Lonchura striata: one gene and its partners. The protein of the gene in region 3 interacts with the protein of the main gene of each other region in a pairwise test. Links are inferred from orthologs where the notes say so. Each region holds a gene or a part of one and is shown on either strand. Other genes may lie near its edges. The genes, in order: zinc finger and BTB domain-containing protein 8A, PRKAR2B and KIF5B.

The links.
Region 1: the proteins of KIF5B (region 3) and zinc finger and BTB domain-containing protein 8A interact in binary tests that used the Homo sapiens proteins (3 or more experiments, as listed by UniProt). The two-hybrid records come from large-scale screens. The link is inferred for Lonchura striata from reciprocal best matches to the Homo sapiens genes KIF5B and ZBTB8A.
Region 2: the proteins of KIF5B (region 3) and PRKAR2B interact in binary tests that used the Homo sapiens proteins (3 or more experiments, as listed by UniProt). The two-hybrid records come from large-scale screens. The link is inferred for Lonchura striata from reciprocal best matches to the Homo sapiens genes KIF5B and PRKAR2B.

The regions. Positions count from the first base shown.
Region 1 is NC_134628.1:950,374-961,162, reverse strand, and holds the start of zinc finger and BTB domain-containing protein 8A, read left to right. Parts: upstream 1-6,641; 5' UTR 6,642-6,870; coding exon 6,871-8,101; intron 8,102-8,655; coding exon 8,656-8,825; intron 8,826-9,492; coding exon 9,493-9,825; 3' UTR 9,826-10,789. UniProt on the Homo sapiens protein: May be involved in transcriptional regulation.
Region 2 is NC_134607.1:59,473,983-59,484,977, forward strand, and holds the start of PRKAR2B (cAMP-dependent protein kinase type II-beta regulatory subunit), read right to left. Parts: upstream 4,147-10,995; 5' UTR 4,096-4,146; coding exon 3,768-4,095; intron 1-3,767. UniProt on the Homo sapiens protein: Regulatory subunit of the cAMP-dependent protein kinases involved in cAMP signaling in cells. Type II regulatory chains mediate membrane association by binding to anchoring proteins, including the MAP2 kinase.
Region 3 is NC_134603.1:142,637,178-142,647,660, forward strand, and holds the start of KIF5B (kinesin-1 heavy chain), read right to left. Parts: upstream 5,518-10,483; 5' UTR 5,306-5,517; coding exon 5,180-5,305; intron 1-5,179. UniProt on the Homo sapiens protein: Microtubule-dependent motor required for normal distribution of mitochondria and lysosomes. Can induce formation of neurite-like membrane protrusions in non-neuronal cells in a ZFYVE27-dependent manner.

The DNA of each region.
Region 1 (10,789 bases), on a different chromosome or scaffold from region 3:
GGTGAGATTTTGTCACCTTTCCAGCAGCAAGTTTTTAAGAGCTATCAGAACTCAGGCTGGGAAGCTTTAGAAGAAAACCCAGCACCATCAGAAAGCCTGTTTGCTTAGGGGTGACCTCCTGTTCCCTGACAAAAGGGACAAAACTGAAATATACTGTGAAATAAGACTGTTAATGCTTCTTCACTCCGCTGTTCTCTAAGTGTTTCACGAAAAGGCAAATTTGATGAGTCTTTTTGGCTGGAGCAGAATTCTGTAGACAGATTTGGCTGACAAAGAGTGAGCAGTTCCTCCCACTTGGTGCTGTTTCCTGAGGGTTTTGGTGTAAAGATTTTCCACTTGGCAAACTTAAAAAACCCAAGAGCCCTCTGATTTAACCAGGTTTTTTTTTTTCTGCATACCTCGTGCTTTTCTTGTACATGTTGGAAAAGAACAATTCAGCTTCTCCCTGTGCTTCATCCAGCAGTGAAACAGTCCCACTGTCGTGTCAGATTTATTTGTGAGAGGTGCTGCTGCTCTCACAAGTGCAGCCAAGGGTTCATTGCCACACCAGGTAGGATGAGGAAAGAAGAAACAAAGTTCTTTTTAAAGAATTCACTTTATTGGCGGCTGCTGAGCAGAGCAGAAGGTGAAGAGACTTCCTTTGGAGTGGTCTGGTCCAAGTTCTTGATGAGTGTCACCATGTCATGTGCTGGTTTTATTTTCTGACTCTTAATTTGGGTGAGTTTCAGTCATTCCTGTTCCAGGTCTGCTGGAAATTTGAGTTTGTAGGAGCTGGAACACAGGACAAGACCTTTACAGATTTCCCTGCTCTAGAGCCCCTGTTTTAGTCGATCTGAATTAAGGGACATTGGAGGGACAACTCCTGGAGGTGCCACTTTTGGAGTTGAGCTGCTCTGAAAATCCTGCTGTGGTTTTGGCTCCTTGGTGCTCTTGAAAACCTGAGCAAAATGTGGGGCTTGTAGATCTTGCTGGAATGTTTGGAAAAGCACCTTCCATCCTCCCAGGGCTTGTCTTTTGGACTACTGGATTTTTGGTGAGTCCACCCAAAACCACAGGGTGATAAAGGTGATAAAAGAGGGACTTTCTGCCTTGAGAGCCATGGATAATCTAATTTTTTTTTTTTTTTTGGGAGACTCGCTGATGGAAGTGAGGCAGGAATGTAAATAGGGATCCAATTAATATTTAGCGACCAGGCTCCCCCAGCTCTGGTCATGAAGATTCCACCTTGTTGTAAATATTGGTAGAAGCCACTAGACCTGGAATATCAGCTGGGCCTGCTTCTGGCTGGGAAATTCCTGCTGTGGCCGAGCTCTGCTGGCTCTGAGCCCCTGGAGGCACTTGGAGCAGAGAAAATGAACCCTTTGGAAGGGATATTCCCTTTGCAGGAATATCTGCAGAGACCTTCTCCTTCACCCTGCTGTTTTTGGTCTTAGAGATTTGTCCTTGTGTGTTTGTGCCTAGAGAATGGAGCTGTCAGGGGTCCGGGGCGGGCGGGGGGAGGCTTTTCCACAGGGAAAGTTCCACCAAACTCGGTGTTTCCTGTTAAATTGTCATTTTGTGCTGCCTTTGTTTTGTTTTTTTTTTTTTTTTCCGTGGAGTCTTTTCAGCCTTTGGATGTAGAAGAGGATGGAGTTTATTTATCCACATTCTTGTGACCCGGGGTGTTCATGTAAATCCGTTTGCTTGTGCTTTCCACTTTGTTTTTTGGATGTTTTTTTTCCTGAAATCTTCCATTTGTAGATCCAGCCTCTACAAGCTTTGAGAAAATGATGTTGGCTGTTTAAAAAAAACAAAACCTTCCTGTGGTGCTTGAGGAAGAATCAAAAACCATGTTTTTAGGGGAGTTATTCTAATAGAATCTCTTTCTCAAAGGTTTTTAAAGGCCGCGAAGATGACGTATCTTAAAACTTAGCTCGTTGTACTTGACTTTGTTTAGGAATACACATTTTAATGTATTTTTGCACAGAAATGCACTGTATTTCACTGAAGGAATACATGCTGCACTGGTGTTTGTAGTGCATTTAACCTCTTGGTGCGAAGCCCTTGTAAATCTTCCAAATGTGGTCGTTGAATTCCCTGATGTTTTGTAAGACAGTTTCATAACTGAAGTCCTTTGGTCCAGTAACAATGACAAATTCTTATAAACCGAACCTTATTTGTGGAAGTGACTGAACTATATTTGTGGATCTTGGAACATTCTGGAGTTTTTTGATTGTCTAGAAAATAAAACTCTCTGAGAGGGTTGCTTTGATTTTTTTTTACTGTTCCCATGTTGACTGAGTAAACCTGAGAGTGTCTAGATTGAAGGCTCACGTTTCAATTTCTGGCATTAAAATTAAATAATTATTTCCATTCCATTAATTTGGCTTAAAAATTAATATATCCATTTTTGGGGACAGCTAGTTTGCAAGAAAAATCAGGTTTTTGGAAGGAAAAGACTAAAAGGATTCTGTTCACGTAAACCCCAGCCAAGTGAGACTTTTAGAAAATATTTTATATTATTAATACTGGCTTTTTTTTAACAGTCTTGTAGTTTTATGTTAATTCAACTTTTTAAACTCCTTTTAAAACTTCTCATTTTTCTTGCTAGGAAGCAGACACTGATCCCAGCTAGGAGGAAATACATGTGAGGAGGACAACATCCCAAATATCCTTTCCAGAAAATTTTGTGTTATATCCAATATTTGACAAAAAAATCTTGCTGCAAGTAGACAAATTTCCCTTTTTTTTGTTTTTTTTTTTAATTTTTTTTCTCATGAAAGATTGAGATGCTGAAGAACTCAGAGGGGATGAGGGTGGTTATCTCCACCCTTGGTGAAAAGGATTCTTTGTGGGGGAAGGAGGAGGAGAGCAGGGCAGCTGAGGGTGTCAAAAAGCTTGGGAATGATTTGGGGAGGAGAATTGTTTGGATCCAGCCCTAAGTCATCAACATGAGCTGGATGCAAATGTGGGACAGTTGGGTGTTCTGAGAAACAGCTGAAAATAAAGAGTTTAAGGAGGGTTTTAATTGTCCTGCTGGATCAGGATTAGGATCAGGCTTTCCCTAAACTGGCCTTGCTGCCAGAGGGAAGAAGGGAAGATTCCTCCCTGGGTTTAGGACAGGACATTCCAATTTCCTGCTCATTTGGAAAAAGGAAAAATCTCCTGGTGCCCTGGAGGCTCCATGGATTTGTACTGGAGATTTGGTTTTATACTCGAGATTTCGATTTGTGCTTCTAGATTGGATTTGTATTTGAGATTTGGACTTGTACTTGAAATTTGGATTTGTACTCGAGATTTGGACTTGTGCTTCTAGATTGGGATTTGTGCTTGGAGATTTGGATTTGTGCTTCTGGATTTGGATTTGTGCTTCTACATTTGGATTTCTACTCGAGATTCAGATTTCTACTCGAGATTTGGATTTGGGATTTGGATTTGTGCTTCTAGGCTCAGATTTGTACTCGAGATTTGGATTTCTACTCAAGATTTGGATTTGTACTCGAGATTTGGATTTGAGATTTGGATTTGAGATTTGGATTTGTGCTTCTAGGCTCAGATTTGTACTCAAGATTTGTATTTGTATTTGAGATTTGGATTTGAGCTTGAGCACAAAGGTGGAACTCAAACCCCGGGTGATTCAACACTCCTGGTTTGGTCCTTGGGAAAGGTGAGGAGAGGAATGATGATGCAAATGAAGACAACCCCAATCTAAGGTGGCAGTGATCACATGAAAGTTGTAATCCCATGCCTGATTAATTTCTAGGCTTTGAACAGTTCCTTAAGTTGTTCTAGTATAAGCTCTTGAGTTTTCCTTGGTAAAAAATATCCCTGGATAATTCAAGTTGTAAGATGCACCATAACTGAAGGCTGTGATTCCTGAGGAATGTTTATTTTGAAGAGAACTGCAATCTTTAAATTGGTGCCACAGTTAATTAAACTATTATAATACATTACACTATACCATTATATATTATTACAGTTAATCCTATTTGGTTACCAAACCCAAGGAGAAATGTACATTAATTTTTCTGTGAGCAAGAAAAATATTAATTTTTTTTAGTGTGATTGTTCTCTGAAGAGCAGACTCTACATTCTGGCTGTGAGGAGCAGCTCCTTCACACTGCTGCCAAGCACATTCCCTCTGGATAAACTCTCCAAACAGCATCTCAAGTGGAACTTTCTCAGCTGAAATTTGCTCTAAAATTTAGAAATAAAACCTAAAAAACCTCTCTGATGTCTGGGATTGTTTGGGATGCATTATTGTGCACAGCAAGATGAAATCAGCATCTCAAGTGGAACTTTCTCAGCTGAAATCGGTTCTAAAAGTTAGAAACAAAACCTAAAAAACCTCTCTGATGTCTGGGATTGTTTGGGATGCATTATTGTGCACAACAAGATGAAATCAGCCCCGTGGATGAGGAAACCAAAGTTTGTTCTGTGGCTGTTCCTGGATCCACAGCACAGCAGTGAGCAGGAGGTGCTCTGAGGAAAGCACTCGTAGCATCTTTAAAAATTCTAATTAAGCCACTCCAGATAACATTGACATTTCCCCCCATATTTTTTAAATTCTCTTGCCTGTTCCTGGCAGAAGGAGAACCCTCGAGCTCCTGTTGACATTGATATAAAACCCCACTGACAGAGGAGTGAAAGCACCACCCAGGCAAGTCAAACAGAACAAATACCTCCAGATAATTCTTTTCCAAAGGAAGCTTTCAGCTGATGGAATAATTTGGGCAGAAGTGTGGAAAAACATTTATAGAATATTGAGAAACATGGTGTCCCTGCCCATGATCTTTAAGATCCTTTCCAGCCCAAACCATCCTGGGATTCTGTGATTCCACATTAAATAAAAAGAGGTGCTACTTACTTGGCTTGACAGGCAAAAATAAACTTTAAAGGAATTCATTTCAATGGTATTAAAACCTGATACTAGAAATAAATGTTCTGGTTTATATATTAAATAATCTGATGGTTTAGTTGATTGCATTCTTTATTTCTCAGTGGTAAGAGCTGTGAGAAGCTGGTTTGAATTCCAGTTGTTTCATGTTCAAGAATGGTTGATTTAGAGCAGAATCTCACAGAAGCAGAATGGGTCTCATGAAGATTTTAAGAGCACGGCCTGGGTTTGAAAGGAGAATCTACAAAACAAAGAGAGTTTATGAAAAAGGAGGAATTAAGATGGAAAATAATATTGTAACATATACATATATATCTACAAAATATGAATGTAGAAATTAGAGATGACAATGTATATGATGTAGTGGGAGAATGGCTCTAATGATCAAAGGAAATAATCTTTGGGTTGTTATCTTTAGATAAATTCTTTAGCCAATTTTGCTACAATGGGCAAAGAAAGAGAAATTGTTTCAAGGTGGAATGTCTGAAGTTAGAGAAGAGAAGGCCAAAAATGCCACCAAGGGCTCGGTTAGGGAAGAACGGTTTCCATGGGGAAAATAAATATTTATGAAAAGTAACTAGGGCGTCCAAAACACAGAAAAGACCCTGGTGGTAAGAAGAGGAAGGGGAAAGACACTAAACTTCGAGGGAGAGAAGGTGAGAGGTTCAGGTCTCGCTTTCAGCCATGCTTTCTTCAGAAGATAACAGACACCAACAGAGACAAGAAGATGTCACATCTCCTTTGGAGGACGCCGCAAGAGAAAGGAGAAGGATTTGGGTCATCGAGGGCCCTGCTATAGATAAAGGTGTGAAAAGGAGGCATCTAGGGCATCCCATCCCCTCCCGGGCAGCATGTGGGTGTGGGAAGCGGCGAGCGGCGGCGGCCGCGGGGCGCGGGGGCCGCGGCAGGCGCTGGGCTGCGGCTGCAATCGGTGCGTTGCCCCTTTAATTGTGTCCCCAGCCCTCGGGCGTCTCTGTCCAACGCCCACGTCAGCAAATACCTTTTGTTTCTCTCCCGTTCGGGCTCGCAGGGCTCGGGGCTGCGGGAGCAGCGGCGCGTCGCCTGCAGGCACGGCGAGCCCCGAGGCGGAGCCGGGGATCCCGCAGCCACCGCCCGCTCCCCCCGGCTCGGCGGCAGCCGCCCGCAGCACCCCGCCGGTGAGTGGCGGCTCCCGCACGCCGGTAGGCCGGGCAGGGCGCTGGGATTGGGGCGGAACGGGCCCCGCAGCCAGCCCGGCTGCGAGGAGGGCGCGGGGCTCCGCAGCGGCCGCGGGCGCTTCGGGCCGCCCGGAGCCGCCGGGAACCGCTCGGAGCCGCTCGGTGCCGCCCGGAGCCGCCGGGAACCGCTCGGTGCCGCCCGGTGCCGGCGCTGCCGCGTCCCCGGCGGGCGCCATTTGCAGCCCCGGGCGCGGACACAAAGGGGCTGCGCGGGGCGGGCGGCGGAGGCGCTGCCGGCGGAAGCGGCTGCGGGCGGCGGGACGGGAGCGGCACCGGGCGCTGGGCACCGGGCACCGGGCACCGGGCGGGGACACGGGGGGCTCTGGCGGAGCGGCAGCCGCGGCTCCGTTCCCGCGGGCGGCACGGCCGGGCCGGGGCGCTCCGTGCGGGCGGAGGGGAGCGCGCAGCCGGCCGGGGCAGGCGGGCGCGGCGGTCCCGCGGTGGGAGCGGGGCCGGGCGGCTCCGGCGCCGTCGGGCGTCCCGGGCTGCCGGGGACCGGCCGGGCGGGTGAGTGACGGCGGCCGCGGCCAATGCCGGGGAGGCCGGGGCGCTGCCGCCGTGCCTTCCGCCCGAAGCGGGGCCCGGGCGGAGCGGGGAGAGGCGGAATCGCGGGTTCGAGGCGGAATCGCGGGTTCGAGGCGGAATCGCGGGTTCGAGACGGAATCGCGGGTTCGAGGCACGGCCGCGGTCGCAGCCGCAGCTGCTCTTGGCTCCTCGTCTTCCCGGAGCTGCCTGAAGGCTGCGCAGCTCCAGCGGGCGGCACGAGTCCAGCCCCGCATGCTGCCCCGCATCCCGGGAATGGATTTGCTGCCGGCTCTAGCACAGCCGTCCGTGCCAAATAACGCGGTCTTGGCTTCGCCATCCCTCTTGTTCTGTTGGGAAATGAATCTATGGTTGAGCATATCGTGGTTTAAATATATTTGTAGATTTACAGAAATGCTATTGTTTGTAAAGATAGCTGTAAAATTGGGTCTGACATGTTTGGCTGAGTTACACAGCACTGAAGTCGAGAGTGAAATAATTTTCTTCATTTTTTTTAGAGGAACGTTTCATTTCACCTTTTCTGGGATGGAGATTTCTTCTCACCAGTTTCACCTCTTGCAGCAACTAAATGAGCAGCGCAGGCAGGACTTGTTCTGTGACTGCAACATCCTGGTGGAGGGCAAAGTCTTCAAAGCCCATCGCAATGTGCTGTTTGCCAGCAGCGGCTACTTCAAAATGCTCCTTTCGCAGAGCTCGAAGGAGACGAGTCAGTCCACGACAGCCACTTTCCAGGCCTTTTCTCCTGACACCTTCACAGTTATCCTGGATTTTGTGTATTCAGGCAAACTGTCTCTCACTGGTCAGAATGTGATCGAAGTCATGTCGGCTGCCAGCTATCTGCAGATGACCGATGTGATCAGCGTGTGTAAAACCTTCATCAAGTCGTCGCTGGACATCAGTGAGAAGGAGAAGGATCGCTACTTCAGCCTGTCAGACAAAGATGTCAGCTCCAACGGCGTGGACCGATCCTGCGTGTACAGCGGAGGGTGGAGGGCAGAGAGCAGCCCCCCGCATTCCCACTCCAGCCCAGACCCTGGGACTTGTATGATGGGCGGCAACACTTGGAGCAATTTCAACTATTACCCCAGCTCTCAAAGAAATGCCCAGCAGCAGCTGTCTAAACACGAGCAGCGGCAGGATTCCATCAAGAAATCCCGGCACCTGGGGCTGCAGCAGCCTTCAGACATCCCCCACTATAAATCCAGCAAGCTGGAGGACAGGGCTGCCGAGCCCGCCGGCCACGCCGCGCCGCCCGAGGAGCAGGTCCACATCGACACGGAGGTGGAAGCTCCTCACGTGGGCTACCAGTTTGGCCAAGGGGCTGAGGTGATGCCCAGGGGCTTGGCTGTGTCGCAGCAGGAGCACGAGTCACCCCGCTCCTCCAGCAAATCCAAATCCTCCAAAGCTGAGGAGCAGTACGGGAGCATGCCCTCCATCCTGGGAGTCATGGGGAACTGGGCTGAAGGTGAGTGGGGTTTAGACACCTGTGAATCCTCTCTTCTGCCTCTGAGAAAATAGGTCTTACTCAATAGTAAAGCACAACTGTCAAAAAGACAGCTGTATTGTCCAGAAGTGTATGCTTAGAAAGTTTGAACTCATTTCCTTGAAATCATTCTGAGTTCTTGAAGTACCTGGGGTATTGAATTTAAAAATAAGTATAAGTTGGGATATTTTTAAGTTCATTTTCATAAAATCACAGAATACTTTGGGTTGGAAAGGACCTTAAAGCTCATCTTGCTCCACTCCCTGCCATGGGCAGGGACACCTCCCACTATCCCTGGTTGCTCCAGGCTCTGTCCAGGCTGGCTTTACCAGGTCTGTGTTAATACAGCCAATGGCCCACTCCTCCTTTGTTCCACTCCTGTGTAATCTACAGACAAACACAAATCCTTTGTGTTTGAAACAACCCGTGGATATTTTAATAAATGACCTGCTATTCTCCTCATAAAACACTTTTTCCTAGAGCATTACATGACACGATTTTGACTTTTTTTTTTAAATCCCATTATTTTCTGACAGATGACCTGTCCAGGATGAGGTTCAAGTGTCCATTCTGCAGCCACGTGGTGAAGAGAAAAGCCGACCTCAAGCGTCACCTTCGCTGTCACACGGGAGAGCGGCCGTACCCCTGCGAGGCGTGTGGCAAGAGATTCAGCAGGCTGGATCACCTCAGCAGCCATTTTCGAACTGTGAGTATTTTTAGCAACTGCATGATTTATTTAACATGTAAATCTGGCTAATTAAACACAGTGTGAGTGTATCTGGTTGATCTAATGACTCCTGTAAAGAAGAGGGGAATGGAACATTAATTTGGTTTGGCTGCAGTCGAATTGAAGGATAATTTGCAGGAAAGAGGAGGAATTTGTTGGGTAATTGATGGCTTGCAGAGGTTCTGCTCTCTGCAGCCTGTGAGAGCTCCAGTGGGCAATTACTGTGCTGGGGCTGGTGCAGTTCAGCGTTTGATGTCTCTGAAATTAAGGCAACATGTCACCCTGATTCTTAGGATTTTCTAAAGCCTTCTGAATTTACATTCTGTTGGAGAACTTTCCCACACAATTTCTGTAAACAACATATTGTTTACATTCTTTTATGAGGGTGGAGAAACTTGATGTACTAGTGGTTTGTCCAATGTGTTTGGAGAGGTGGCCCATTCACTCTCCAACCCAATGTCACCTTTGGGAAAGTATAAAAGTCGGAGTCAGAGAATAAACTTTCTTCTTTACCTTGGAAATAGCAGGTGGCTCGCGTCGTGCTTTCACGTGTCCTATAGCGACAGCAACGCTGCGATTTGATTTTTGCCATCTCCCAAAAAACCCATTGGTGTTTTACAAATCCATCCCTTCTCGATTTCCCCAGATCCACCAGGCGTGCAAGCCCATCTGCAGGAAGTGCAAGCGCCACGTCACCGAGCTGACGGGCCAGGTGGTGCAGGAGGGCACGCGGCGCTACAGACTGTGCAACGAGTGCCTGGCCGAGGCGGGCATCGACAGCATCCGCATTGACTTGGAGGCGGAGGCGCCTCTGGAGTTCCCGCAGGATGGGGACAAGGATTCCAGGTGGCACTACGGGGACGACAACAGATCCGACGTGGAGATCGTGGAGGACGGCTCGACCGACTTGGTCATCCAGCAAGTGGATGACAGCGAGGATGAAGCGGAGGAGAAGGAAGTGAAACCAAATATTAGGTAGTTGGAAGAAAAGGATTGGGAATTCCGTGGAAGAGGGAGGATGTACTGTGGCCAAATGCCCTCTGCCAGCTGATCCTACAGAGACATGTGGTTGAACAGGTCCAGACTTGCATGTATTTATGGACACGTCATTGAGGCCATGCTGGTTTGTTAGCAGAACCCCCGTGCGTTGTTTGGTTAAAAAAAAAAATCCATCCTGAAATTATGCATCAACAAAGAAACTGCAGTATTATGTGGATAATTTTTATAGAGGGAATGGGGCACGTCTCAAAGCCCCTTGCAAGGAGGTCTAAATACTTTTTAAAAATCACAGATTATTGTAAATTGCCCATTTTTCACACTTGTAGAGAGGTGGGGTTTATATATCATTGGGTTATAAACGAAGTATAAAACCCCCCACACCAGACAACCTCTCTTGAGTGTTCAGAAGTGAAGAGAATCTTCCATGAAATTTCATGAAATCTTCATGTTATGATAAGGAAAAAGGCAATTAATTAAGAAAGAGCATTTAAAATGTTTTGGCACTTTTGTCTGGAAAAGGACTTCTGCAAAATTTATTAGGATGAGGTGAATCTTAATGCTTAACACATCAGAGACAAAACAGTTAAAAATTTGGATCATCAATTGATGACAGTAGATGTTTTAGTCTCAAAATTAGGATATCAGACTGGGCTGTTTTAATAAGCACTATTAAATTACTCTTTTTTAATATTTTGAGACCTTTCAAAAGTGCCCAGACATGGTGGGATTGTTGGGGTGCAGGGCCAGGAGTTGAATTTGGGTGATCCTTGTGGGTCCCCTCCAGCTCAGGATATTTTCCAGTCTGTACCAGTGAGACCAAGATGTACTGGAAGTTCTAGACACCATATTTGTGTCATTTCACCCACAATTAGGCTACAGAGATGAGTAATGGTGAGGAAATTTTACTTTTCTAACAAAATAAGCTTGGTTTTGCTGCTTAGTGA
Region 2 (10,995 bases), on a different chromosome or scaffold from region 3:
ATCAGATGGTAGTGATTTCAGCCATTATCCATCATACCACAGATTTCAGTTTGAATATATATATTTATAAGAAAATCACATGCTTTTCTATACAACCCCTGATTTAAGGGTATCCCACTATAACTTGTATGTATTTTTATATTGCTACCTTGTCCTTCCTGAGCCCTTCCACTGCTCTGATCTGCCCATTACGTACACATGGCACAAATGTAGTTGCGTGCAAAGTTTTTTCTGGTTTCTACAATTTACCTATTATTTCAAAATTTCTATGAATAGTACATCTGTAAGCACTTCAGACTGAATAAATGAACTAAAATAAAGACATGCCTTTAAAATTAGTATTGTAAGGTAGAATATGCATGTTTTACCTAAACAGTGATCTCATATTATTTAGGCACAATCAGTGGGTTAAGCTGAGATACAGACTTGCATTTTCTAGCTCAAGTTTCCAAAGAAGGAACCCAAAGCAACCAACACACCAACAGAAGTACACGGGGGAGGAGAGGGACAGCTGTAGTATTTTCCTGTTAAAATACACCACTATCTGAAAAAGATACCAAAACAAACTGAAGTAAAACAAAACAAAAGAAAAATCAAGTAAACAGAGGCTACGGTGTGCCAAATGATATATGCAGCACTGTAATTTTTGACTTTAAGGAACAGCAATGTTACCTCAAAAAACTCTTCAACTAATTCATATTAAGGCTAGATGAAATTTTTATCTACGGCAACCATTTTAAAACAGCTGTTACAAATTACATAGGCTATTGCCCATCAAAATAAGTTGCAAATCAATATGTAAGTGGTAAAGTCAGAAGAAAAGTATAGTCACTGTAAAAAGAATAAATAATTTAATGAGCATTTTCAAATGTTGCTAACACAATATAATAAATCTTAATATGCAATTCAGACTTGCTAAAAGTTAGACATATTTTCTAAAACAGGGCTCATTTTTATGTATATTTCCTGTTCAATTTAGTGTCTGCTATTTATTTGAGTAGGAATTAGTTGTTGTAACTGATTAATGCCAATATACCCATGTAGGACAATTAAATATTTTTTTAAAAAACCAACCAAACAAACCAACTAGAAAACCTGAAAAACATTCCCAAATTAAACCATGTGTTCCAAAGAGGATAATCTAAATGCTCTGAACATAAAGAATGTCATTTCTGAGGTCACCTTAACTCCAGGTGTCAATTCAAAACTATGACACCAATACAACAAAGTTCTCCCTCCAGACAAGGTAACTGCTTTTACCTTTATGTGATTTCTGCAGCCGAGGTAATGGACACAATAAAGACCTGAACAGATTTTAATTCAAGGTTCACATATAACTCTTAATCCTGAGTACAGGGGTTTTTTCTTTTTAACACAGCTTATGCCTCAGCTCATCATTTCTGAAACAGGATACACTTCCAAAATACATTTCAAGGACAAAACTAATATTGACAAAGAGTTCAACTGCAGAGCTTGTAGGTACTTAAAAACATTTGGTAGGAAAATAAAAGTTTGGAGCATTTACAGTGAGAGCTCAACAATGTTCTGATTGAATTAATTAAGGAACACTGTCAGTTTGAGATTTCAAATGTACGGCTTTAGCAAAGGAAAGATACCACCACCACCAGGCCTGACCTCCTTAACAGAGGTTTTCATTTTGCATTTGCTTATCCACTTTTTAAATTTATTGCCCTCTCCTAAGGATGCAAACAGGGCAAATTTGCTATATGGAAGTCGTCTAATAAATCATAAAGGCAAAAAAAATTTAAAACTTTCTCCCAAGCGTCAGTTCTTAAAAATTGCTACTTCTAGAAACAGAAAGCAAAAGCATAGAAGAAACATGCTTTGAAATTGGTATCTAAACCCATTAAACAAATATTTGAGTACAAGCCTTTATGCCTCCAGTTATTAACAAAAGGCTGAATGGATTCATTGTTATGTTACCTTAGAAGAATATATTCAGGGCAGACATAAAATTTGAATTTTAAATACACACTCCTGCACAATGTACATATACACAAGCACACTATTAATAATCATTTACCATGAGTTACTTCTTATTAATCTTCACATGGCTTCACAAATATTTTCATTTTTTGTTTCTTTTAATTAACAATTATTTGAACAGACAGAATTTACAAACCATAATACAATTAAATGCTCAAAATATATTAGGCTTAAAAATGTGGCATTTTAAAGGGTTTTTGTCAAACAAGTAAATCAATTTGTCAAACTAAGAGATTCTAGCATGTCCCTTAATGAGAATATTGGCAATAATAGCTTTTTCTCTTCACAATCACAACAAAAAGACTGTCAAAAGAATCTTAATTACTGGTATTCATTTGAAAAGCTTAGAAAGCTTCTTAGAGCATCCTGTAAAGTTACAGGTACGTAACACATACATATTAATAAATAAAACTACTTTTATGTACTTCCCTCCATACAACATTCCAGTTTTCCATTTAGCAATGAGATTTGGTGTTAGAATAATTAATGTTTGAAAGGCCACATCTAGTATTAGTGAAATGCGATAATTTTTTTCTTCCACATTATGATTATTTCAGTTTTCAAAGACAGCAAATTTTCAAATTTCTACCAATCTCACAGAATCAGCATTACAGTTTAAAATTGCAGAACTTGATTGACAGATTCAATTTCTCATTAAATACATGTGGGTATAGCTGGAAAGAACAGATGAGAAGAATGGCGACTGTCTTATGGGGTAACACAAAGCATTTTGAAAACTCACCCATTTCTTAAACACCTACTTGTTTATCTACATTTCCTGATGAAAGGCACATAAGACATCATTTCAAAACCTGCACTGAAATTCAACTAGCAAACAGCTGCCTTCCATACTCTGCTAAGTAAGTCTACCTCCAGCACGACTCGGAGGGATGACTGCTTTGATGATCTGATAAGATACGCCTCAAGCTATCCTCAAAAAAATACAATAAAGATGCTCGGACGCTTTCCTCTTCTCCATCTAACCTTACTGACTGTCCCTTCAGTCAGCCTGCTCATGACACAAAGACAAAGCACTGTGCACCCTTCAGAGGCAGCTCCCACCCGTCCCATAACCCACACCAGCAGATGGATTGGCACAGTCCCTAAATAAAACCTGTCAGCCACACAAAGATAAGGTGTCATTAGCTGCGTGTAGATCGGTGTTACCTTCAAACACAAAGATACTGCAAATGTCCTTTGCTGTCACAGCAACACTTGTTCCACAGGCCCTTCTAAATGCACAAAATTTAACTCTGGCTTTCAGGAAGAAATTATGTTTTAAATTGTGCTCTACTTTCTAAAACACATGTAAGTACATCTACGCAAAACGTTTAATCAAGTGCGTGAACAACATGCCCACGGGAGGTATTTTCTAAGGCAGACATGCCCTTGCACTAATCACGGAATGCAGATCTGCTCCTATAAAAAGGAAACACACGGATAGATCTTCGCTGGACTATGCCAGGCTCATACGCTTCCAGCGCCGCAGCCGGTGATACCCGCACGCCGAGCCCCAGGGGACAGCCCGGGAGGCTGAAGTTTGCCGCGGGATACGGGGAGCCTCCCGCGGGCTCGCTGTCGGCGCGGGCGGTCTCTGCCCGCGGTGCCGCCGCTGCCGTGCCCGCGCACCGCGGCCCCGCGGCCCCGCACCCGCGGGCGGCCCGGCCCCGAGCCCATCCCCGCGGCCGCGCACCGAGCCCGGGCGGCCGCGGAGCCCCCCGCGCCCCCACCCCCGGGCCGGCGAGGTGGGGGAGCCTTACCCGGGAACTGCTGCGGCGGCGGCGGCGGCGGCGGCTGTTCGTCCTCGCCGCTCTCGGAGTCGGTCTGCATGGGCTCCTCGGCGAAGTTGACCCCGCGGGCGTCGGGGGGGCCCCGGCGCGGCGGCTGAGTGCCCCTGTCATGGCCGGTGCCCGCTCGGCGGCCGCTCGGCTCCTTCTCCGCCGCCGCCTTGGCCGTCGCCGCCTCCTCCTTGAGGCGCCCGAAGTACTGGAGGGCAAACTCCAGCAGGTCCCCGGGCTGGCTCCGCAGCACCTCTACCGTGAAGCCCTGCAGCAGCTCCGTCAGCCCCGCCGGGATGGAGATGCTCATGCCGGGGCCGGCCGGGGGGGCGCAGCCCGGCCAGGAAGGGGGAGGGTGAGGGGAAGGGGAGAGGAGAAGGAGGAGAAGGAGGAGGAGAGGGGGGGAGAGCCCAGGGCCGGGGGTCGGCGGCCCGGGGGACGAGGCGCGCCCGGCAGCTCGCCCGTGGGCAGCGGGAAGGGGCGGGCGGCGGCGCAGGTGGGAGCGGGCGGGGGGCGGGCCCGCGGGGGGCAGCGGCTCCGGCTGCCTCGGCGGCGGCGCCTCCCCCCGCGCCGGGGAACCCGCGCGCATGTGACCCGGGAAACCATGACAACCTCCCGCCGGGACTGCGGCCGCCGCGCCCCGCCCGCCCGCCGCGGGAGCCGGCGGGGCGGCGGGCAGCGCAGGGCAGGGCAGGGCACCGCATCCCTGCCCCCGCACGGGCTGCCCTGCCGGGCCACGGCCACGCCGCGCACCGCGGCCCCCGCCACCCACGGGCTGCCGGGGACCCAAACCGTGAGCGCCGTCTCCCTGCGGGGGTGTCCGGGCATCCGCCCCGCGACCAGCGGGGATTCCCGCTGAGCGGACGTGTCCCCGCTCAGGGAAGGACCGCAGTGCACTGCTGTGCTTTTTCACGGCCATGCACCACCTTAAAGCTCTTCTCCACATCATTCATACGCATACAAGTGCTGTCGATTTACATTCATCTGTATCATTTAGTTTGGGAGGGGTGATGTGGTGCAAGCAAGAACATCCTGTTTGTTTCAGGTCCACGAAAAATTTAGCTGGAAAAAGAAAGAATTGTTTAAAAATGGGGGAAGAAGTCCAATTTAAACACTGCTGAATGCCAACGCTCGGCATAGACGCTCTTCCAAGCCATGCTGCAGAGATACTTAGCACAGTGGTAAGTGGGTGCTGCTTGTCATCACCAGGAAGCTTAAATGTTTTAAGTAGAGTAAGTAGCAATTACGGGTGCCATGTTTTTCAATGCTTCACTAAACTGCTTCTTGAAAGTGAAGTCCATAGAATGCTTGATAGCTGCATTTCCCCCCCCCCTTTGTTATCACCTCTGAATATTGGCCAACGTTTTGGGGTTCCAGAAAGATCTGTTCGAGTCTTATTTTTATGCATCAAGCAAATTAACTGCTAAACCCTCTAAAGGCTGTGACAACATGGCTGTTTGAGAATAGATTTCATTAAACATTCAGCATTCTTCAAATGGCCTTGCAATGAGCTTCATAGGGGCTTAGGGTAAGATAAGCAGTCAAGTGTGAGTTTGCAGTAGCGAGATACTGAAAGACCTGACCTCGAAAAAATAAGGTGACAGCAAAATACAGCAATCTCTGTGACACTTTTCACGCAGGGATATCAAAGCCAGTTTTAAGTTCAATTAATTTCCAAATGGAACCCAGTTCTGATTGTGTATGTATTTTCAAATGGAGCTTGGTTCACAGATTGGATCTTCAAAGTGTTACAGACCAGGTAAATTAGTGAAGTGAGTAAACCATGCCTGCGTGGGTGATATTGCTGCCCTGTAACAGGCAGGAGACATCTCTACCAGTTGAGCTGTGGAATACCTTCAGGCAACATCTTGTGGCTTCACTTTATGCTGCAGGCATAAAGTACTTTTTTGAAGTTAAATTCACTGTTGTTTAGCACCGTCCTGCTTGAGGAACCTCTTCAAAGTCAAGCTAAGTCGTCTGGAGGCAGACTACGAGTTCTCTCTGGACTGCAGAAGCTTGCTCTATCATCAGGCTCCAAGAACTGCTGCAGCGTCCAGGGGGCTGCCAGCACACCCCCACTCCATGCCCTGCTGCAGTGCTGGCATGCCCTGACCACACCTGCCTGCTGGAAGCCCTGCTGCTGCAGCATGTAGCACATTAAAATGGTTGAGAATCAGGTGCAGCAGGAGAGCTGGCACCTGTACATCATGGACAGGTGCATAGCTTAGTCTGGAGCGTGGGTTACCTCGAAATACCAGATTGCCTCGTTCACAAGTTTGGGAGCTTAAAAACCTTCTCACACCACTGATAGGATTGATCTGTTTGTGACCAAGCTGAGACATACCTAAGCTTTGAGGAAGCTCCCAGGAAGAGAAGTGTTAGTAATTAGTGCCTTCCAAGCACTAGGTGTCCTGTGAGCATATAATATTCCATTTAATGGAGTCTTCCAAGGTTAGAAGAGTTATCATCCCTGAGGTTTTCTTGTACCCAGACAAGGCAGTCTTTTTTTCTAGGAATTTACCAGTAGCATAGTGTCTTTCGCCATTTAATCAAGGACTCCCCTAGTTTGTCAGAGACTCTCATCCTCCCAGACTTAAAATGAGATCACTCCTCTGAAGACATCCTCAAGAGCCAGCCTTTGATGCTTTTATGTAAAACTCAGATAATTTGAATAAGAGATTCCTAAGTGGAAGAACTCTAAAAAATGCTTCTTTCTAAAAAAGGTTTCAAAACAGCACAAAACATTTGTGTCTAGTGAAACTTACCTTGAGGTTTGTGTATCTCAAAGGATGGCAGGAAACTTTGTAGTTCAAGTTGGTGTCATCTAGTTTCCTTAGATGCTTTCTGTTCCAAAGACCTTGTATTGATATTTAAATTGCTTTTAAATCCTTGTAAGGAAGACAGCTGCCAAAAATATGTGTTATGTCTAGCAGAGTGAACAGTTAGATAGTGAGAGTATTGGTTCACACCTCTCCAATGAGTTTCATTAGCTACTACTAATTTTTGAGTGCCATCTCATTCAGCTGTAAATATCTTCTTGAAAAGAAAGAGAATTTACAACCTACAGAAATCCTACTGTACTGAAAAAGGATTAGGCAGAATATTCGCCTCACAATTCCAAAGGAAATAACATAAAGACTTTGTTATGTCCTTTCCTCCTGGCCAACAAATGCCCTTTTCATAACATACTGCTTACCTGCTTTGCATGTCGTTCTTGTCCCTTCACCTGGCTTGCAGCAGTGAGAAACTAGGTGATTAGAGCTAACAGGTGAGAAATAGCAGTTGTCTCCCACAGGACAATTCCAGACAGCATGCTTCAGACAGTGGCTGGGAATACTTTGTCAGAGCTCAGAGGATGAGATATTTTCTGATCACATGGAGGACAATTAACTCAGTGCAGAACAGATGAGTGCCAGACTTTCAGGCTTTGTCTTTACCAGGTCGATGTAAATTTAGTAAACTTGACCTAACAAAGTCCATTCAGCATCCAACTACAAGCCTGTTTTTTTTTCTGCCAGCTTTCAATGTTTTGCCTGATAAGAATGTTTTTCCCCAGTGCTTCCCAAGACCTGCTCTCCAACAACCATCTCCCGATGAACCCCGGCTAAACTGCGATGCTGTGGTGGTGCTCAGAGGGGCAGAAGTGTACACTTAACATCAGGGTGTAAGCCAGGGCAAAGCCCTTTCTCCCCTGAGGAAAGCAACTTTAGAAAGCACACCAGTGGAATACCAGCTTTTAAATCTGCCCTTTGTTACATCCTGTCAGGCAAGAGAGATTGTTCTTACTGTGTCCTTGGACCTGCTGCAGAGCTAGCCCAGAAAGAAGAGATCCTGATCTCATCATCTGTAACAGTCTCTCTCAATTTGGCAATCTAGTCATTTCTACAGTGGTTCTCCATGGAAAGAGTTCATATTGTACTGGAGAAACACATGGCAAAGCCAGGCCCTCTGCCTAATGCAGGATAGTAGGAAAAGACTCATGTTTGTGTTTGGGAGATGTTACTCCCTAAATTTCCCGTGTTTAAAAGATCATTGATTTGTGATATCTCAAATCTTTTGTCCAGGCTTTTGAAATTTTAAGTAAATATACACTTTGCATACTGCATGCCAAAAAAGCTGCTGGTCAGAAGGCATCTTCAAATCCCAACATGTTTTATATTTGCTTCAAAATCTCATCAGCTATACAGTAATGTTTTTTATTCCTGGCTCTTGACTGAGTGATAGCTGGTTTGTGAGTTTAGAACAACCACAGTTCATAGGAATAATCATGTACCAATTTCTGATCTTCCAAAATACCTTTAAAATATTACATGTATTGACTTTTTTTTTTCCTACTCAGGTCCTTCTGGCTTAATAGGCAAATCTTGCTCGCAGAATTTTGAAACTGTTTTTAATAGCAATCACTTAGCAATGAATTTTCCAGCAATAACAAAACTTGCAGTTGTGTAGATCCATAGTTTCACACTTTTCTATTCTCATTCGAATGTCACCATTATTGTATTACAAAATCCATTACCAAGCCCAAATCCATTTTTCAGAAAAATGTTCAGTTCTTTAAACAATATAAGAAACTAGTGCCTGTGATGCATGAATCAAGTTCTAACATATTCCCCATGATTCTTCCTTCAATTGAATCTCCTTCATCTCATACCCTTTACTCTGTCTGTGCTTATGTTCTGTGGATTCAAACCCCTTAACTCCTCCACTGCCTACTGTAAACCTAGAATGGCAAGAACCAATACCCACTTACATACTTAAGTAAAATTGCTATTTACGTCAATGAAGGTTTTCCCTGAGCAAACAGAAGGGCCAAGTTTGAAAGTTGGGTGGAAGGAATCCACCTGAAGAAACAGAATAGCAGCAAAGCAGTGTAAATGAAAGAGTCCCTGCCACTTTCAGTACCAATTCACAATCAGATTAACCACATACACAGTTTGAGGAGTTTCCTCACACAAAATGGCACCTGCTAACCCAGGAACAAGTGTTCATTTCCTCTCCCTTGTATCACCTTTTAGGCATTGTAGTGCTATGTAGTCAGTGAAATTATATGACTGTTAGAGCTGAGATGAATCATCATGCTCTCCGTGAGAAGAGAGCAGAAGTCATGGCTCAGGAGGAGGAGTATCACATTATCAGCAATTCAAATTCTAGTTGGTTTATGTTGGTCCTGAATCCAAGTGTTCCATCCACCTCATTTACTGAGATAATATGTTCAAAAGAAATGCAGAGTATCACATATTCTAACCTCAAGTCCCTTGCTTTTTCACTCACCAAGTCCTTTTTAAACCCAAACTATTTTCCAGGGAATATGAGCTTTGTGATTTGTTACAAGTTCTGTTTACAAGTGCTACTATTCAGTAAATGAACAGCTGTTGATTGCCATTGAAATCTGTTGTTTGTCATCCTTGATATTCAGAAACTACAGGATACTGTCTCTTAGAAAAGTGCTCCTTTTGATGTGCCTCAGTTTGGGCTCTCATAATCACCTGTAATTTCAGAAAAATGTGCCTAGAGTTTCTAAAGTCGATATAGTGAGTACTGAATTTGTCATTAAAAGTAAACCTTCCCATTTTAAGAGTAATGAAATAAAATGGAAGTGTAGATGTAGTAGACTTCATCTATTTTGAGGATCTTATTTCGTTTGATGCCCTACACTTTTTATAAAAATGGCACTATGCACTGTCAAGACAACCTGTTAAATGGGTAACAGAGACATCTCTCCAAGTAGCTAATGACAGAAAATAATCATCAGATGGAGAAGTTCCCCAAGAATTGACTGTAGGCTGCTTCTGTTCAACACCTCCTGCAATCACATGGGAGCAAGTATAAATGTTGCTGATGTAACTTTGAGATGACACAAAACCCAGTTGAACAGTGATACCACTGAGCTCGGGGAAGCATAGGATGATCTGGATGACTTGTCCATTTAAAGAAAATCATACTCTACAAGCTCTTTATTAAGTCTTTGACTTCAGAAGAAAGAGATTTCTACAGAACAGAAGGACTCTGTCTTGGAAGGCAGTGCTTCTAGAAGAGTCTGGTGATCAGAATGGAAAAACAGCTTTACTCCAATTTCTGGTGTAATTCTGTAGACAAATGAGATTTTTGCTTGTTTCAAGAGGGAGATCAAAAACAGGAGTGGGAGATCTTCCCTCAATAAAGCACTCCTGAGACCAGTAAAAAAAAGTACAGATATAGTGTTCATATATTCAATAGAATATGGAGAAATGGAGATGTGCAGAAAAGAGACGTAGGAATTATCCACAAGCTGAAGGAAACGTCTTGAGGTGAAAAGACTGGGAGAATTCTCAACATTTATCTACCCACTTGTTACCATGCTCAGTAGAAGAGGCTTATATGATCTAAGAGATGAAAGATATGAGTCTGTATAGTCTAGTAGCACCTTTATGGAAAAGAATAACATCAGTCTTGCTTATCAGAGATGGCTCAACATGTTCTCTTGGAAAATCAAACTCTATCGTGTCACTAGAGGAACACACAAACATCCAAAGATGCAGTAATTCTTAGCTGTTCTGAAATACAAAGCACTAGTGAAAAAATCATAATACATATGTGTTTTTGAAAACTTACGGTCACTGCCATGGATGCTTGGGTTTTATTTAAATGAAAAAGATTGATAGTGAATGGATAGTTTTCTTCATTTTCCTCGAGGGAGCTGGGGAATCCAATAATTTTTGAAAAATGAACTTCCTCCCTGCAAATCTTCTTCTATTAGTCCTGAGCTTAGATCTGAAGTCTTCAGATCATCTACTTTATGGCAAAAACTATGAGAAAATTAGTAGAAATAGCTGTTGGATGGAGAGCAATGCTAAAATTCCATGCCTTGAGTTTCTCAGTAACTGTCAGTGTTCTTAAAAATAGTCATTAAGAGAATTTGCTTCAGTTTCTTGGGACCTAATTTCCAGAAAGAGGGAGTCAGAACTGTGGAATCTGGAAGTGATATCTTCTAAGGAAGAGGCAAATTTTTCAGTGAACATGAAATGTTGGGCTTTTGGTTTGGACTATTTTTTGGTTTTGCGGGTTTAGATTTTATTGTGTGGTGTTGTTCTGGTTTGTCTGTTTTGTTGTTTTGTCTTGTTTTGTTTTTTCTCTGATAGATTTAATTGTTACTCATTATATTCTTGAGGAAATTATTGGTTCTTTTTGGCAAGAAGAATAAAGCTTCTATGCAAGTATTAGTAAAAAGAGG
Region 3 (10,483 bases):
GATATTTTTTCTGCACCAGATGCCTTTTCTTCCCCAAGCAGTAAACAATCAGATCTAACAATGAGCCGAAGACACAAAGGGCCCAAGCACTACTGTGTGGTGTCCCTAACAGGGTAGTAGCAGTGTCACCAACACAGTATGAGGCTGCTTTGACACACTCCTGAAATTTTCAGAAACCGGTGCTCAAATTCTGTTAGAAATTTAATACACATGGCCTTATAAGTGAGACATAAAATAGCAAGCAAACAAGCAGCACTTTTAACTTCCTCTCTCAGGCTCTTTTAGTTCCTTGCCCAGCATTTCTTTTGTCTGTAGTCAACCACAAGACAACTGCAGCTCCTGCAGTTGCCTTGCACTTGAAGGGACGTGGTCTCACAGCAAAACTTTCCAAGTGCCCTCACAGCCTTCAGAAAGGTGCAGCTGCCAACATGATTTAGCAGTAGTTAAACTGAGTCTTAATAAAGGGATGATGCTGAAGTACAGTTCCATAGCTAACTTAAAGACTAGTTACCCACTATATAATAGGATGCTCAGCCAATCTAAATTATACAAAATTTAGAGTACACGTGAACTTATGTGGAAAAGGTTTTTGTCAACATATCCAATGAAGACTACAGAAAAATCTGCAGTCACAACTACACTGAAAACTTACATCAAAAGTCTGAGAAATACTAAAAGTTATCTCCATAAATGTAATTTTAAAAATCCCTTATTATTATTGCAACTTTCCATAAAGTACAGACTTGGTTTTTCATAAGATCACCTGAGTTTACCTTACTTCTTATGCACTGATATCTGAAGCTAAATCATTAGTAAAAAACTCACTTGAAAAATCAGTAGCATATTTTTCTACCAGAACACAGGCAGAAGCTCTTTAATGTTTTTTACTAGAATGGACAGATAAAATAGTGCTACAATACCTACCCACGCTTAGCCTATTCTTGGTGAAAGGTTAAAGTAGTACATAATGGGCTTACTTTGCCTTTAAGATCTCCATCTATATTAAAGAATGTTCTTCCCATCAGCACAAAATGTGTTACAAGATTTATTGAAAATGGAATAATTTCTGGAAAGTATTATGTCAGATACCTGACTCACTTCTTCCTATTACTAAGCTAAGGTATTGATGCTTTGACACACCTAATCAAGTCTAACACTGTCAAGGGGTGAAAAGGCACAATTACTAATGAGTATTTTAATTTTAGGATAAAGAAAGAGGATTTTCTTCTTGCATTAGCCTCATGCATACAAAAGTGCAGCTGATACAGAACAGTCAGTGAATCTCAGCTTTTTATCCTCTTTTTCTTATTTCTGTGGAAATACTGCAACTCAAGTATTAACTCTTTCAGCAGTTATTTATTGCTCTAGAATGACTAAAACATGTGATTTAACACTGTGACTAGAAACTCAATTTCCAGAACAGAAACAGAATATTTTTTGAATAAAAGTTTCAGCCAAAATTTTTCTTTAGTAGAAAGTGTCTTCTGAAGAGAAAAGCAAGTACTGCTGTTTATAAAAACAGTCACTGAATTTCAGTGAAATTCAGGACAGAAAACTTAGGCAAATATGAGCAAGGTGTTTCTACGCAAGTGGCTCTGCAGCCAGGGAGAAAAGCTCTGCCTTTACAGATTCCTGGACATCGGAATATTCCTGTTAAATCATCACACCACTGTCACCTGAAAAGCACCTTTGTTACTCAACATTTAATGGAATAAATTAAGAAAAAGAAATAGAGAGAAACATTGGAAGAATAGTATTGTTTCAGCTACAGATTGCAATTCCTGATTCATATTTAAAGTTCCACTATAGACCTGATGCCTTTTTTTCCTCTAATTAAACACTGCTTTCTTTAAATAAGGTAATTAATTTCTTGAATTTATACAGTCCAGTACAGTCTTCAGCATTTTTCTTTTGGAAAACATACTACTAAAAGCTGCAGTCGTACCAAGTGACTTTCATTACCTGATTCTAACAACTTTCTAACCTAGCCTTGTGTCATTTACAATCCAACACTAGTTTAAAAGACAATGAAAAAAGAAAGCCAAATGTCTCAAGCTCTTCCCAGGATTACAGAGGTACATCTTAAATATGAAAATAGATAAGTAGGCATGATTCTTTCCTGAAAGCCATACAAATGAGGAACGGACAATTATCATTACCAAAATCCTTTTGGACAACAATGGCACACTACCCATTTCTGTGCACATCCACAAGGCCTCATCACTGCAGCCACTGGGGAGTGCTGCTTTTGGTTCAGGCTTCAGTTCCAAACCCCAGAGTGTCACTGTATTCAGTAATGTATCTTTTGGGTAGTTTTAAGATTAACAAGACTAGATATAGAAAGTTATTTAAAGATGTTCAGATACATTATGCAGAATTCTAAAGCTACTCAGTTGCAAGCAGCTTTATGTTTGATAAAACAAAGGACATAATCCCATATTAAACTGCTCTTCCTCCTTGTTGTATCTTACTCAAAAGCCTGAAATCCACTAGCAAATTGCTATCAATTTTCACATACAGGTACATTTCTAATGTTTAACATAAAAGTCATATAATGAGTAATCTGTTTTAACAAAATCCTTGTATTTAATTAACAGAAGAAGCCATTAGGAAAAAATAATTAATATACTATTGAGATAGAAAGAAGTCACCTGCAATTAAAAAATTAAAAGCCCTTTACTAGTTAAAAAGTTTCATCCTGTGGAAAGAAAATACTGTGTTTCAGAATCTGCTCTTTAAAGCAGACCAACACCATTATGTCCCCTAAAACTGCTGTTACACACTAGCTACAGTTAAAACTTTTATTTTATCTAACACAGATCAAAATGACTCACTTGTCCAGAAAGACAAAGATGACATTAATTTTGCAGGAGCTAGGAAAAGAAGGGAAGACAGCTAGCTCAGAGATGACAGGGGAATCAAGGAAGGAGGAGGGTTTGGCTATAGTCACTGATTTTCCTCCCCACCCTCCTCCAGAGGAGTCAAACCTGCAGCCTGGGATCAGCTCTGCTGCCTCCCAGTCTTCCCCTCCCATCGACCATCACAGGCAACTCCCAGGATTATTAAGGCAGCCTCCACTGCTCCAGCCCCGAGCCAGGCACCCACGGGAGGTGCAAGTCCTTCAGGCAGCTGAGGGAAGCAGCTATAAAAAACCAAAAGTGGCTCAATTACTGCTCAACAGGCAGCAACAAGGGCAGAAACCAAAGAGCTGAGGTAACCACACACACAGCTTATGGAGGAAGCCTTTCAGACACTGTTTCAGGAGCACTGCTTCTGTTATCCTCCCTTGGGCAATTCTGCAACACACAGAAAGAAGTGGTGCCTGACTACAGGCCCAGGTTAGAGGCTCTCTAAATTTGTAAAAACTCACTCAAGCTATTGAAAACAAAAGCACCAAACACAAGTTATTGTCAACAGTTTTAGAGATTCAAGTCAAAATTTTGAGTATATCAATCTTGTCCTATAGCCATCATTATACAAATACAAAATCAGAGATTATCAAACCTTTATTCAAATTTTGTGAAACAAGACACAAATACTGTCACTGCTACCCCATTTAATAATTTTGGGGGCATCTTCCCCCAAGTTAGACATGGCAAGTCCTGGATCCAGGACAACTAGGAAATCTGTTGTGATTTTTTCCAAGGTGAAATCACCAAGGTACAGCTGGCAACACTAAACATCAATTCTGAACAGAAAGCCCACCTGATCCCTCAGGAACATAATGTCAAATTGTTCTACTCAGATACAGAACTACCTCTGCACATTTTAGATATTCAGATATTTATTTACCTCTACATTTTAGATATTTTAAAAATGCACCTAAAGAATATTTTAGAAATATAAGCTTTCATTTATACGAGGGCTACTGAAGAAAATTTATTTTTAAGTTAGAACACATTAGGGTTTCTACAATGAACTGTGGATTATAAACAGACTATGCAGTGTCACAATGAATGGGTATTTACTGATGAAAGTGAGATTATTCACTCAAGTTATATTTTCCATTTTCCAGGATTGCTTCCTTCCTCTGAGTTTACCTGTACAACCTCAGGAAGAAGTGATGTACTCCAAGATAGTAAGTTGCCAGCTGAAATAAACCCAAATTACCTCATTTCACAAGAATGCTATTGTTCTTGTCACTCCAGACTCATGGAATTCCATATTTTATTGGCAAATTCAGCTGAATATTATCAGACTAAAGCACTAGTATTTAGTAAATCCTATTACAAAAAAAGTATTTTATTAAATTGCCTCTATTGCTTCCTGCAGCTTCAGATACTGTGCAAAAAAAGCTATTATTGGTAGCCTCAAAAAACAAAACATAAACCCCTAAAATTTTTAGACAGATAACTGGTCTCTAAGTTACTTTCAGCAAGAATCAGCAGTTTCTCATGAAATATATTTACACGAAAACACAAATTAAAAGTTAACAAAAACAAAACAAACATTGGGGCTAAAGTGTGTTTGTACAACATCAACCAAACCAGGCAACAAACAACTGCACTTTATTTTTATATTCTAGCTCCACTTTGTAGCTAGCTATGATTCACTGGAGAAAAAGGAAAGGATTATCTTTTCCCCTACAACATCCATAATGTTTTTAACAGGAGACCTTGCAAGGAGACTCCACTTAAAATACACTTAGGAACATGCAGTAAGGCAAATGGTCTGTTTATTCTGATTTAACAACAACAAAAAAGAAGCTATCAGCTGAAGACCGATGTACAGCTCTGGAGCCTGCACTGCCGTTCCGCATTTCTTGCCCAAACTCTCCGCAGACAGCGATCGGGCGGCAGCCCCCACGCGTGCATTTAGCATCTCACAGCACGGCCGGCCGGCCCGGGCAGCGCCCGGCCGGCGGACACTGCGGGACTCGCCCTCACTCCGCACCTCGGCACTTGCGCCTTTGTCAAAGGTCTCCCGACCTGCCCCACCGCCCCCCATACCCGGACCGGCTCACCCCGCCCGCAGCCGTCCCTGCCCCCTTTCCCCTTCGCCTCGGTCTCCAAGGAGGCCGCTCCCCGCCCCGAGGGTCCCCGCCCGCGGGCGCTCCGAGCCCTCCCGCCCCACAGCGCGCCCATCCCCGCGGCGTGACCCCGCCGACCCCGGCCGCCCCCTCCCTCCCTCCCTCCCTCCCCCGGCGCTTCCCGCCTCTCCCGCCCGGGCGGGCCCTCACCGCGATGACGACGGTGTCCTCGCCCTGGAACTTAGCGATGTACTTGTCGCCTCGGGCCACTTCGGACTCGTTGAGGGGCCTGAAGCGACACATCACTTTGATGTTACACTCCGCCGGGTCCGCCATCTTAGGCCGCCGCCGCCTCCGGGGCGCTCAGCTCCGCCGCCGCCAGCTGCCGCCGCCGCACCGCCCGCACCGGGGGGGTCTCGCAAGCCGCCGTGGCCGGGAAAGCCGCGCCCGCCCCGGCAGGAGGGAAAAGGGAAGGGCTCCTTCCTGGCCGCCGCCGCCGCCTCCCGCTCTCACTTCCTCCCCAACATGGCACCGGCCATGGCGGCTGCGGCCGCGGCTCCCGCCCCGCCCCGCCGGAGGGGCGGGCGGTGACGTCACCCACCGCAGCACCAGCCCCGCCCCAGCCCCGCCCTGTGCGCAGGCGCGGCTCCGCCCCCGGGCGGGGCGGTGCCCGCGGGGCCGCCGAGGGCGCGGGCAGGGGCGGGGTTGCCTCAGGCGGGCGGGGCGCCATGGCAGCGCCTGGAGTCGCGGTGCCGCTGGGGTCATGGGGCCGTAAACTCATCGGATCATAGAATTATAGAATCATGGAATCATGGAACCATCAAGGTTGGAAGAGACACTTAAGGTCATCAAGTCCAACTGTCAACACAGCACTACCTGTGGCCCCTAAAGCACCAAACCATATCACCCAGCGCCAGTCCAGATGCCTCTTAAACTCCTCCAGGAATGGTGACTCCTCCACGTTCCTGCACAGCCTGGCATCATCCACACAGAATCAGGCTGGAAAAGCCCTGAGGTCATCCAGTACAATGTATATCAACTAAATGCCACATCCAGTCTTAAATACATCCAGGGACAGCCACCACAGCCTCCTTGAGCAGCCCATTCAAATGTCTAACAATTATTTTTGTGTAACCTGAACCTCCCTTGGGCCATCTTAAGGCTAAGTCCTGTGGCCCTGTTGCTGGTTGCCTGGGAAAAGAGGCTGACCCCCACCTGGCTGCAGCCTCCTTTCAGGCAGTTTTAGAGAGCAAAAACATCACGCCTGAGCCTCCTTTTCTGAAGGCTAATCACCCCCAGCTCCCTCAGGCAGGTGATGGGCAGAGGGCTGCAGGGATGAGGCCGCTGCCGCCCTAGTGAGGAGTGTCGGGCACCGATCTGCACTGCCACCTCAGCTCCGCTGGCAGCTGGTGTCAGACAGGTGACATGGCCATGTCGGGCACCGATCTGCACTGCCACCTCAGCTCCGCTGGCAGCTGGTGTCAGACAGGTGACATGGCCATGTGGGGCACAGATCCGCATTGCCACCTCAGCTCCGCTGGTGGCTGGTGTCGGACAGGTGACATGGCCATGTGGGGCACAGATCCGCATTGCCACCTCAGCTCCGCTGGCAGCTGGTGTCGGACAGGTGACATGGCCATGTCGGACACTGATCTGCATTGCCACCTCAGCTTCGCTGGTGGCTGGTGTTGGACAGGTGACATGGCCATGTGGGGCACAGATCCGCATTGCCACCTCAGCTCCGCTGGCAGCTGGTGTCGGACAGGTGACATGGCCATGTGGGGCACAGATCCGCATTGCCACCTCAGCTCCGCTGGTGGCTGGTGTCGGACAGGTGACATGGCCATGTGGGGCACAGATCCGCATTGCCACCTCAGCTCTGCTGGCAGCTGGTGTCGGACAGGTGACATGGCCATGTCGGACACTGATCTGCATTGCCACCTCAGCTCTGCTGGCAGCTGGTGTCGGACAGGTGACATGGCCATGTCGGACACTGATCTGCATTGCCACCTCAGCTCCGCTGGCGGCTGGTGTCGGACAGGTGACATGGCCATGCTGGACACCAATCTGTGCTGCCACCTCAGCTCTGCTGGCAGCTGGTGTCGGACAGGTGACATGGCCATGTCGGACACTGATCTGCATTGCCACCTCAGCTCCGCTGGCAGCTGGTGTCGGACAGGTGACATGGCCATGTCGGACACTGATCTGCATTGCCACCTCAGCTCTGCTGGCAGCTGGTGTCAGACAGGTGACATGGCCATGTCGGACACCGATCTGCATTGCCACCTCAGCTCCGTCAGCTCCGCTGGTGGCTGGTGTTGGACAGGTGACATGGCCATGTCAGACACCGATCTGCATTGCCACCTCAGCTCCGCTGGCAGCTGGTGTTGGACAGGTCAGACATACCCCAGCAGGGCATGGCACTGCTGGGGACAGCAGTGTATGTGTGATAAACCTTAGGGGCTGAGTGTGAGGTAAAGGCTTAAAGCAGGTGGTTGAGATAGGAACCTATGATATTTGGGGTTTTTTAGTTTGTTTGTTTACATTTCTTTTCCTCTTTTAGCTAAAAGAGAGAAAATTCCCACCCATGAGGTGTTCACAGATGCCAGTGTGCCCATGAGCTTCGTTGCCTGTGTGCATCCTGGAGCAGGAACCCAGCGAGTGGGATCAGAACACACACAGCTCACAGCTCATTATGTCGCCCCCAGGATGGAGACTCTCACCACTTTTTCACCCCAAATGAAAAAAAAAAAGAAAATCTGGACAGGAATTTTTTTAAGCTTAATTTATTGCAAGTTTTGTTTACATATTTATTATAGGGGCTCTAAATGTAGTTGACCAAAACTTAGGGACTGTATCTAGACAAAAGCATCAGGTAAACAATTCTAACAGAGAGCCCCAAAAATCTCACACTTTTACAACTGTGCCTCTTTCATCCAAGCATGAACTTTCAGATTGGAACAGAGTACAAACTCACAGCTTGGCTGAGTTCAGCCAGTTTCTTGACAGAAATCATAATTTGTACTGGTAATTTTTCAAATAGCCTTGAAGTTAATTTTTAAAAATGGAAAAAGAATAGGGAGCCTTTCTCTTAAGTTAGTGTATTTTAGTAAGCCAGAATTACTCAGAAGAGCAGTTTTAAGTGTACTTAAAAATACTCATTTTTCATTATAAAAAAGGAGAAACTACTGTAAATTTTAACAGGGACCATCTGTAATCAGCCATCCCCCATTTTTAAGACTTCTCAGTTTAGGGATTTTAGTGATGTTCAGTTTAGGGATTTTAGTGATGTGTTTTTACTTAGGATAGGTGTGCAAGGCAAACACTTCAAAACTGCTCCACATGACAGAAAAATAACCTAATAATCTAGTTGCACTTATAGGTTCTTTTCACAGAGTAATGCAAAAAATATTTCTGTGCTTAGTTTATCTTATGAGGTAAGCTATGTCTTCTAAACTGAGTTCATGTTGTAACAAGTTTATTTTTCCACTGTGATTAAAAATGCAGCGGGACTGTGCTGTCTTATTCAGGGCAGCAACAATGATGTGTCCACACCTATGAGCACATGTGGAAATAGTTGTCTGGAAAAAGCAAGATATAAGCTCAGTCTGTAGAAGGTGCAGTGCTAGTCCACAACATCTAGCATATGAGATATACACAGACATCTGTCTACAGATTTCAATAAAATGCTTTAAACATAATTGTTACTAGGTTTTACATGTCAGAAAACCTGTTTTAGTTGGTTGCTATGTTAGATATTATTACATTGTATCTCAAGCAGCAAGATGTATTAATGCTTCTATCTCATCTATTTCTGGGATTATTCACAAGCTTATGGCTAGCAATATTCTTATGCAGCTGTAGGATTTGAATCATCAAAGATTTCCTGTGACAGAAGGTTATTATTTTTATGAAAGGAACCTGAATATTTACTACTTTTTAAATTAATTTACTTCTGTACATCAGGAAAAAGCAATATTAGCTGCATAATAAACAACTTTGTGATTATTACTCACAGAAGTACATTTCACCTGCTGAATATCATTTCCCCTAATGTATTGAAGAAACTTCTAGTTCTTGTTATCCGTAAGCAGAAGGAATGTACCTTTATCTGCATTTACTGACATGTAGTGCCCGATGTTAGAACATCTCAGTCAAAAAAGAAACCTCGTGATTACATGATTGTCAAGAAAATAGGTGCTTGGCCTTGCTTACCTACCTGTTGAATGTTTGACAGAGCAGACATTCCACAAGGACAACACAGACACATGAGTAGATAATGATTCGTTTTAACTATGTTGAAACAAAAGATGTCAGCATGTGTGAACTCTGTAGTAGGAACTGGCCACTCTGAAGCTGTCCTGTGTGAGCCCATAGGAGAAGAGGCTGATGGTGTCCCATCCCAGCTGTGGGAGCTCTTGGTGAAGGTGCTCTGCTGAACCACTCGTGTGCTCTCAGATCCCTGTCAGGGACTGCCATGAAGTTTCTCTTCTCTGATCTGTTCAAAATAGCAACTGCTCCTTGGCATGACCTACTTAAAGGCTGACACAACAAAGCCGTGTGCTCAAAGAGGGCACTGTGTTATCTCTACTGGCGCCAAGATGTGTCAGAAGAGCAGCCTTGAGGACTTGTGTTTAAAGATGTGGTCTCCTGAGAACATGGCAGAGACCAAGCATCCTGGAAAGTTTCCCATTTTGTGGTAATAACAGAATGCACTTTCTTTGCCAATTAAGAATATATTTGCTGTCTTCTATGTTGTTATGTAATGTCTATAGCATACATTTTTTGACACTTAGGATAAGAGACTATCTTTAAAAGTAATATAATGAGAAAAAAAATCTATATCTCAGTTGTAGCTGACAATAAGTTTAGTAAAATTTCTTAGTAAAGACTAACATGTTTTATTAAAGCAATTTATGTGAGGAATTTGTGTTGTTAGTTCACTAACCATGTTTCTTTCCATTTATGAACTGTGCAATAAACCTCTGCAAATTCTTTTATGACTTATGGCTCTTTCAGATCTTCAGTCTTTCCCAGCAATAAAAACCTGCAAAGCAAAGCAAATTGGCAAACCTAAGCCTTACAGGGAAGCTATATCGGGATAATTATGTAATTAACCATCGAAATTGTTCTAGCAGAGCAAAAGTGATCTTGATTTGGTTTTAAAAGAACATTACATATTTGAATAAATCTTTAAACCGGGTGTTTGTGGAGAAGCAAATTAAAGCTGCTTCCTCATGCCCCTTTAAAGGATTAAATTCTGAGATTCATCGGTTGACAGCACTTGCTGACATTCAGAGTGCTTTATGCAAACACAAGTACTCTTCTCATTTTAATTTGCAGTGTGCTGGGAAAATATATTACATTACTTCTGAGAATTTGAGGTGCATTTTGGGTCAAATTTCTTCCAAATTTGCAAGTGGATTTGCAGGACAAAAGAGAGATTAATCTGCCAGATACAGTGTACCTCAAACAAAATTCTTGGTTGTTTGCAGCACACTCTGTAAATAAAGG